2 linked regions of the Sus scrofa genome follow. The protein of the gene in region 2 purifies or fractionates together with the protein of the main gene of each other region. This does not show direct contact. Links are inferred from orthologs where the notes say so. Each region holds a gene or a part of one and is shown on either strand. Other genes may lie near its edges.

Region 1 (3,804 bases), on a different chromosome or scaffold from region 2:
CTGCCCTTTCATAAAATTGTCTTAGCTACTCTGGGTCTCTTGAATTTCTATTGCACTTCAGGATCAGCCTGTCCATTTTTGCAAAAGAAGCCACCTGGGGCTTTGATAGGGATTCCACTACATCAGTAGATCAAATTTGAAAACACTGCCATCTTAACAATATTAAGTCTTCCAATCCATGAACATGGAATGTCATTTCATTTATCTAGGTCCTCTTAAATTCAAGTGCATTTTTATTAGAATGAATCTACATTCTTTCATGATATCTGTGGCCCTGAAAAGAAAAATAAAATAAAAAATTATATATAAATAAACATTCTCCAGCAAAACGAGTTTTGTCCAATAAATATCACCCTAAGAGTAAATAAGCTGGCTGACCTTGAGATCGCAGGTGGTGTTGAGCAGCAGGTTGGAAGGTTTGAGGTCACGGTGCAGTACGTTAGCTGAATGGATATATTTTAACCCTCTGAGGATCTGGTAAAGAAAATAGCAGATATGGTCGTTGCTGAGGTGCTGCGTCTTCAAGAGCTTGTAGAGATCTGTTTCCATGAGGTCCTGTACTATGTATCTGTTTGGAAAGATTAAGGTAACACAACCAAAAGAGCTAGTTACACTAGCAAAGCACTGAAAACAGAAAGAATCCAAATGGTCCATTATTACATCATGAGGCCCAGAAGGGAAATGAGAAACTGATGGAAACTGAGTAGAGCTTAATGGAAGGAGTCCTGAGTAGCTGCTTCCTCCTGAGGTTCTGTGAAGTCTTCCTGCATTTCTTTTATTCATTTCTCTGTAAATACTATACGTCTCCTAGAGATTCATGCTAGATGAGACACAGTATGGGATTTGAAGAAACATGACTTAAAAACTAGTCATCTAAAAAAGACCTGATTTTCAAGGCAAAAGGTAAAGCAGGACAACAGGCGGCAGAAGGAGGCATTTCACTTAAAATATCACAACTTAGTAACAGAACTGTTTAAAAATGGAAAGACTGCCTAGAGACAGCGCACTGCCTCTCCCTGGAGGGGCGGACTGCACAGTGGGCAAGCTGGCAGGAATGCTGCACTGGCCAGAACCCTTTCTCCTGGCAGATCCTCCTCCAGCACACTTAACACTTCTTCTTTTTTTTTTTTTTTTTTTGTCTTTTTGCCTTTTCTTGAGCCGCTCCCGTGGCATATGGAGGTTCCCATGCTGGGGTCTAATCAGAGCTGGTGCTGCTAGCCTACGCCAGAGCCACAGCAATGCGGGATTCGAGCCACATCTGCGACCCACACCACAGCTCATGGCAACACCAGATCCTTAACCCACTGAACCTCATGGTTCCTAGTTGGATTCATTAACCACTGTGCCACGATGGGAACTCCGAGCACACTTAACACTTCTATCTTTCACATGCAGTCCTTACTCAGAAAGTATCCTCTGGACCTCCTGAGTCCAGATTTCTAAACGTTTGTCACAATTAATGACAACTTCAGACCTGAGATAGCCTTGAAGATCATGAAGGCTGTACCTCAGTTTTAACATGAGAAAACTGGACCCAGAAGTAAAATGACACTGAGATCAGGACAATCTCGACCTGACCAGGTGCTATACAGGGCCCCTTCTTTTAGTCTACTGCTCTTTCACCACAACAAACCATACCTTGAAAAGAAGTATCATGACTGGAAAAGGTGTTAACCAACATTTTCCATAACTACACTTAGAGAAATCTTTACTGAAACTGAGAAAATATAGAATAAACAGCAAAAAATATGCTAAAGCTACTAATAAAATGAATCAGAGAAAAAAAGTAAATGATGTGGGAGTTCTCTTGTGGTTCAGAGGGCTAAGGACCCAGCTTTGTCACTGCTGCAACTTGGATTGCTGCTTGGCATGGGTTTGATCCCTGACCCAGGAACTTCCACATGCTGTGGAAGAAGCAAGGAAAAAAAAAAAAGTAAATGATGCAAGTGTTATAGTAAGTGGCAAGCAGAGCAGAGTTTCCCCTTAAACATGTTTGACTACTTTTCTTCCACCACGATAAGTGGAAGACTTGATGTGTACTCAACCAGGTGATGGAGCAGTGGAGTCCACAGCCTGAAAAGGATACACATCTTTCATCTGCTCGATGGTTGGTGCTCGAATGATATCATTGATTCCAATGATGTTCTCGTGTCTAAAGCGCAGTAAGATTTTTATCTCCCTCAGGGTTCTCTGGCAGTAGGTCTGATGCTCAAATGGACTGATTTTCTTGATAGCTACTCGAACTTTGTTGACATTATCATAAGCAGAGCTGAAAAAGAGGGGAGATGGCATTAAAAACAGTTCTCAGAACACCCTGGCAGAAAGAACACAAAGTGAAGTATTCTGCTTAGAACTCTGGGCAAATACTTGTTTCACATGCATGAAGGCAGAATGCATATCACCCACAAAGAGGCCCTAAGTGAGGGAGGACATAGCAGGATGCCACAGTACACACTATGTATCTCAGAACCACCAGAGGGCCTGGCCCTGGAAACTGTATGGACACCAAATTTCTTTCTTTCTTTGGCCATACCTGCAGCATGCGCAAGTTGCTGGGCCAGGGACTGAACCTGCCACAGCTGTGACCAGAGCCACTGCAGTGACAACAGATCCTTAACCCACTGAGCCACCAGGTAACTCCTGGTTGCCCATTTTCAAAACCCCAGGAATATGGGTGGATTCCCCCCCCCCATTTTTCCCACTGTTTTTAACAGCAGCTGCATTCCGGTGAGAGGAATCGTTTCTGCCTCCATAACAGCTTCCTACTACTGTATCAGATTCCACTGACTCAGCAGAAATATTCCAATGACCATCAACTACATCTTCACCCCTAACAAAAATGGACCCAAGAGGGCAACAGGGATCTACTGCATAGCACAGGGAATTATAGCCATTATCTTGGAAAACTTTTAACAGAATATATAACCTATAAAAATACTAAATCAGGAGTTCCCATCATGGCTCAGTGGAAATGAATGTGACTAGTATCCATGAGGACCCAGGTTCGATCCTGGCCTCTCTCAGTGGATTAAGGATCCAGCATTGATGTGAGTATGGTGTAGGTGTAGGTCATAGACACAGCCTGGATCTGGCATTGCTATGGCTGTTGCACAGGCCAGCGACCCCTTGCCCGGAAACCTCCATATGCCATGGGTTCAACCCTAAAAAGACGAAGACAAACACCCCCCGCCCCATCATTATTCTGTACACCAAAAACTAAGTACTATTTAGTCAACTATATTTTAATGAAAAGGGGGATTGTTCCCTGGTGGTACAGTGGGGTTAAGGATCTGGCATGGTCACTACTGTGGCTCAGGTTTTGTTTTTGTTTTTCGTTTTTTTTTGTCTTTTTGCCTTTTCTAGGGCTGCTCCCATGGCATATGGAGGTTCCCAGGCTAGGGGTCGAATCGGAGCCGTAGCTACCAGCCTACACCAGAGCCACAGCAACACAGGATCCGAGCCGCGTCTGCAACCTATACCACAGCTCACGGCAATGCCAGATCCTTAACCCACTGAGCAAGGCCAGGGATCGAACCCGAAACCTTATGGTTCCTAGTCGGACTCGTTAATCACTGCTCCACGACGGGAACTCCCTGTGCGCAGGTTTGATCCCTGGCCCCAGAACTTCCACATGCCGTGAGCGAGGCCACCCTCTCCAAAAAGAAAGGGGACCCAAGAGGACATATTGATTGCTTACAGCAATTTTGTCTTACCTGCAAAATGATGTTGTCTTACCAACCCCCACCCCCAGAAATTTTATCAAGATGTCTATGTGGTCTTTAACAAAACCTAGAAAGTATTGTT
Region 2 (4,352 bases):
GCTCAAAGACAGTCTGAACATAAGAGTCTGCAGCATAGGGAGGGTCTTTTTTTTTTTTTTTTCTTTTTTCTTTTTAGGGGCGCACCTGTAGTGTATGCCAGTTCCCAGGCTAGGAGTCAAATGGGAGCTGCTGCTGCTTATGGATACTAGTTGGGTCTCCAGGAGGGCCTTAGGCCCCAGGGTAATGACTGGAGGGAGGGAGAGGGGCCTAGGGGTTTGGGTTCTGAAATCCCATGCAGCTAGATGGGGGTGGGGGCGCTCCCACTCCAGGGTACTGTCCCCACAGACCTGAATGTCTCTGCTTCAGAGTTCAACTGCCAACATCTCTAGCCCCAGCCCAGGGGCCCAGACCCCCACGCACACCTGGGACTCACCACATCCGCCTCAGGGGTGGGGGCGGGCTGAAGGGATGTGGATTCCCTTGCTCCCCCAGTCTTACTGCTCATCTCCAGGCTTGGGTCCCTGCGTCCAGGGCCCCTGCTGCAGGTCTAGGTGGGGCTGAGTGGGAGTGGCGGGGGAGGGCGGGGGAGGCAGATTCTGGTAGTTCTTCTCTCTCTTTCCCTTGGTGAGGCTCCTGAAATTCCCACAAGGCCTCAGGGAGAGCCCAGCAGCGTCAGCAGAGTTCCCCTTCAGAGCTGGCCTGTGACTTGGGGAAGTGCTTCACCCTTGGCCCCTGGAGTTTCCCTGGGCTTCAGAGGAGGAAGCCTTGCTCTACCAACTGGAAAGTCGTCACAGGCTCCCCTGCCCGCTCCAGGCCAAGGCCCTGGGGGTCCTCTTCATGCCATGCCAGGGTCTTGGGCTCAGAGGACAACGTTCTGGCCTAGCTTGGCCACTGAGCAGCTGCAAAACCCCTGGCTGGTCTCAGCCAGGAAATGGGGGGTGGGGGAATAGAGTCCCTCCCTACCAGGGTCTTTTAAGCAGAAGAGAAGAGGCACATCAAGACATGGTTCCCCATCCAGCAGTGTGGAAACCACCCGTGGCAACAGACAGATGTAAACTTTTGTTGTCACAGATTCCCAGGAGAAGGTAAATCCTGGGAGGGAGGAGGGAGAAGGGAGAGGAAGCGAAGCGAGGGGCACCACGGCCCCCTGAGGAGGGGGATGTGCATCTGAGAAGTCGAGAAGTCAGGTCAGAGGGTTAGGGCGCTCAGGAAGAGCCCTGGGGCGCCTAGGTGGGAAGGGGGCGTCTGGGGAAACACCCTCCGTGCTGGTCCCGGGCTTCCTCTCCCACCGCAGCGCCCCGCCCCCGTCCCAGTCCCCCAGCCCGCTCCAATCCTGGGCCCGCCCAGGCTGCACCCCGCGTGAGACGGCGGGGGCGGCGCGGGCGCCTTCCTGCTCTGCCCTTGTATGGTGACCCGGGAGGCCGGCCCACAGCTACTTAAGCCAGGGCACTGCAGTCAGAGCCCGGAACAGACGGTTCAGGCAGCGCGGCCGCCGCGAGAGCCCGGAGCGCGCACGGGGAGGGAGGAAGGAGAAGAGAGGGAGGAGGGGAGACGGACAACATGGGGCTGGAGGCGGCGCGCGAGCTGGACTGCGCGGCGCTGGGCGCGCTCCTGCGGGAGCCGCGGGAGGCCGAGCGCACGCTGCTGCTCGATTGCCGCCCCTTCTTGGCCTTCTGTCGCCGCCACGTGCGCACCGCACGGCCGGTGCCCTGGAACGCGCTGCTGCGGCGCCGCGCGAGCGGCTCGCCCGCCTCCGCCCTCGCCTGCCTGCTGCCCGACCGCGCGCTGCGGGCGCGCCTGGCCCGCGGGGAGCTGGCGCGGGCCGTGGTGCTGGATGAAGGCAGCGCCTCGGTGGCCGAGCTCCCGCCCGACGGTCCAGCCCACGCTCTGCTCGCCGCGCTCCTGCACGAGACCCGCGCCGGGCCCACCCTTGTGTACTTCCTGCCAGGTGAGTGCCGGCCGGCCAGCGTTCCCCGCCCTCGGCTGCCGCGTCCCCGAACCCCGACGGGCCCTCCCGGCTAACCGTGTCCTGATCCAACTTGCAGGAGGCTTCGATGGCTTCCAGGCCTGCTGCCCCGATCTGTGCTCTGAGTCCCCCGCCCTGCCAATGCTGCCCGAAAACAGCCGCCCCGACCCCAGGGCTCCCTTGTATGACCAGGTGAGTTGAGATCGGGGTTCCTTGTCAATGTCCCGCTGACCCCAAGGGTAGGCGCCTCTGGGGAAAGAGTCTGCCATTTGTGGGAGCAGGAGTTTGTCTATGCCCACAGTCACCTGTGTATGTGTGTCCTCACCCCTAAAGGGGAGAACACCTTTGTGTATGCCTTACTTGCTCGTGAGCATCTCGGAGAGTCTGTGTCTGTCCTATGAGCAGCGTAATTTGGGGGCTTGGGGGGAAATGTCTGTCTGTGAGTGTATATCTCTGCGTGTCCCCATGTCTGATTCCCGGTTAGGACTGGCTAAGGGTTTCTCTTCCCTGGCCGGTTTGCCACGGTGTCTATGCCCAACAACCACCCACCGCGGTGCTCCAGCCCTCTAGGCCAGAGCTGAGTTCTCACCGCTGCCTCTGCCTCTTCTTCTCCAGGGTGGCCCTGTGGAGATCTTGCCCTACCTGTTCCTGGGCAGCTGCAGCCACTCATCTGACCTGCAGGGGCTGCAGGCCTGTGGCATCACTGCGGTCCTCAATGTCTCGGCCAGCTGCCCCAACCACTTTGAGGGCCTGCTGCGCTACAAAAGCATCCCTGTGGAGGACAACCAGATGGTGGAGATCAGTGCCTGGTTCCAGGAGGCTATCGGCTTCATTGGTAAGAGGCAGGCCTTGGCGTGGGACCTAGCGGGGCTCCAGGGGCAGGAGCTGGGGCACCTGTCTCTTGCCCAGCCCACCTTCCTGTCTGACGCCCCTCTCTCCCATTTCCTTTGCAGATTCGGTGAAGAACAGTGGAGGCCGGGTGCTAGTACATTGCCAGGCAGGCATCTCACGCTCCGCCACCATCTGCCTGGCGTACCTGATACAGAACCGTCGAGTGCGTCTAGATGAGGCCTTTGACTTTGTTAAACAACGCAGGGGAGTCATCTCCCCCAACTTCAGTTTCATGGGGCAGCTGCTGCAGTTTGAGACTCAGGTGCTGTGTCACTGAGGCTGGGCGCCACCATGTTGGCTCCCCCAGGGCCCAGGAGCACAGGGCTACCTGATTCCTGGGGACAGCTGGGGCCCCAGTCCCCCACTGCACCCCCCACCTCAAGGAGAGCGGCCCCTTCCTTGGAGTTTGAAAAGCCCCAGGTGGAGGCGCTGGGGATACGGCAATGCTGGACTTTCTCACCTGGTGCTCTTCTGCTAGGGGTTTGAGGGCTGGCCCTCAGTCCTCATCCTGGAAGGAGAATGGAGGCTGTTCTGCTTCCCTCTTCCTCCGTCCTCTGGCAGAAATGAACTGGACTCTACACCCATGGATTCCCACTGGCCCCACCATGCCAGAGCCCTTGGAGGCCTGAGGGCTCCAAGGAATAAGCTGTGACAACCAGGAGCCCTGTCTGGGGTGGTCCACCCTGAGGCCTGGAGCCTGAGCCCTGCGCGGGGCTTGGGGAAGTAAGGCAGATGCCGTGTCTGGACCTCTTGGTTGCCTGTGTGTGTGTGTGTGTGTGTGTGTGTGTGAGTGTGAGTGTTTCACGCCTGTGTTGGCGCTGGAAAGTTATTTGTGTTCAACTGACATTTAACACTCCCTCCCCCACTTCCTCCCAGCCCTGTGGGCTGGGTTGGAAACTTAGCACTTTATATTTATATGGAACATTGAAGATGTGTCAATAAAATATTGTTTTGTTTAAGAAACAACTTCTCCAGTGTCTGGTCTCCAATTGGTGCCTGGGAAAGTGCTCAAAAGCCGTTTCTCAATCAGACCTCACCTTCCTTTGTGCGGAAAATGGAAGGAGGAAGGCACAGAGTGACCTCACCTCCTTGCCCTGGTCCCCTTGGGGCTGGTGTCTTTTCTCAGGCAGCCTTCTGTCTCTAGAGCTGAAAGCCGTGGTTTCTTGGGAGGCTGGCTCCGGCCTTATTCCAGTTTCCACCTTTGGTCCTATGGGACAAGATTGTGTGTACCCTTCAGAGCTGGATCCAGCACTGCCCTGGGCAGACCTACTTACTTTCTGGATTGTTTGTGTGAGTGTGAGTGCGTGCGTGTGCGTCCATGCATGTGCGTCCATGCATGCATGTGAGTGCGAGTGCAGCCGTCTGTGACAGCTTCTGTGGGTGTGGTTGTGTGTTCTTGACCTGCACACACCCATGTCTCTGTGTGTGCCTGTTGGGTGTGGCTCCCCTGGGCTGTGTGTACCTGTGCCCACAGCAGGGCAACATAGCCTCTTACCTCCCACTTTCCCAGGCTGGGCCCCCAGGCCTCAGAATGCCCTCCCTGCCAGGGCTCAT

Evidence for each region.
Region 1: the proteins of DUSP2 (region 2) and MAPK1 purify together in Homo sapiens (affinity purification with mass spectrometry; 4 studies listed by BioGRID and IntAct, with this or other methods). This does not show direct contact. The link is inferred for Sus scrofa from reciprocal best matches to the Homo sapiens genes DUSP2 and MAPK1.

What each region holds. Positions count from the first base shown.
Region 1 is NC_010456.5:50,138,398-50,142,201, reverse strand, and holds part of MAPK1 (mitogen-activated protein kinase 1), read right to left. Parts: intron 2,270-3,804; coding exon 2,087-2,269; intron 569-2,086; coding exon 379-568; intron 1-378. UniProt on the Homo sapiens protein: Serine/threonine kinase which acts as an essential component of the MAP kinase signal transduction pathway. MAPK1/ERK2 and MAPK3/ERK1 are the 2 MAPKs which play an important role in the MAPK/ERK cascade.
Region 2 is NC_010445.4:47,051,053-47,055,404, forward strand, and holds DUSP2 (dual specificity protein phosphatase 2), read left to right. Parts: upstream 1-1,390; 5' UTR 1,391-1,501; coding exon 1,502-1,889; intron 1,890-1,986; coding exon 1,987-2,099; intron 2,100-2,522; coding exon 2,523-2,742; intron 2,743-2,860; coding exon 2,861-3,075; 3' UTR 3,076-3,764; downstream 3,765-4,352. UniProt on the Homo sapiens protein: Dephosphorylates both phosphorylated Thr and Tyr residues in MAPK1, and dephosphorylation of phosphotyrosine is slightly faster than that of phosphothreonine. Can dephosphorylate MAPK1.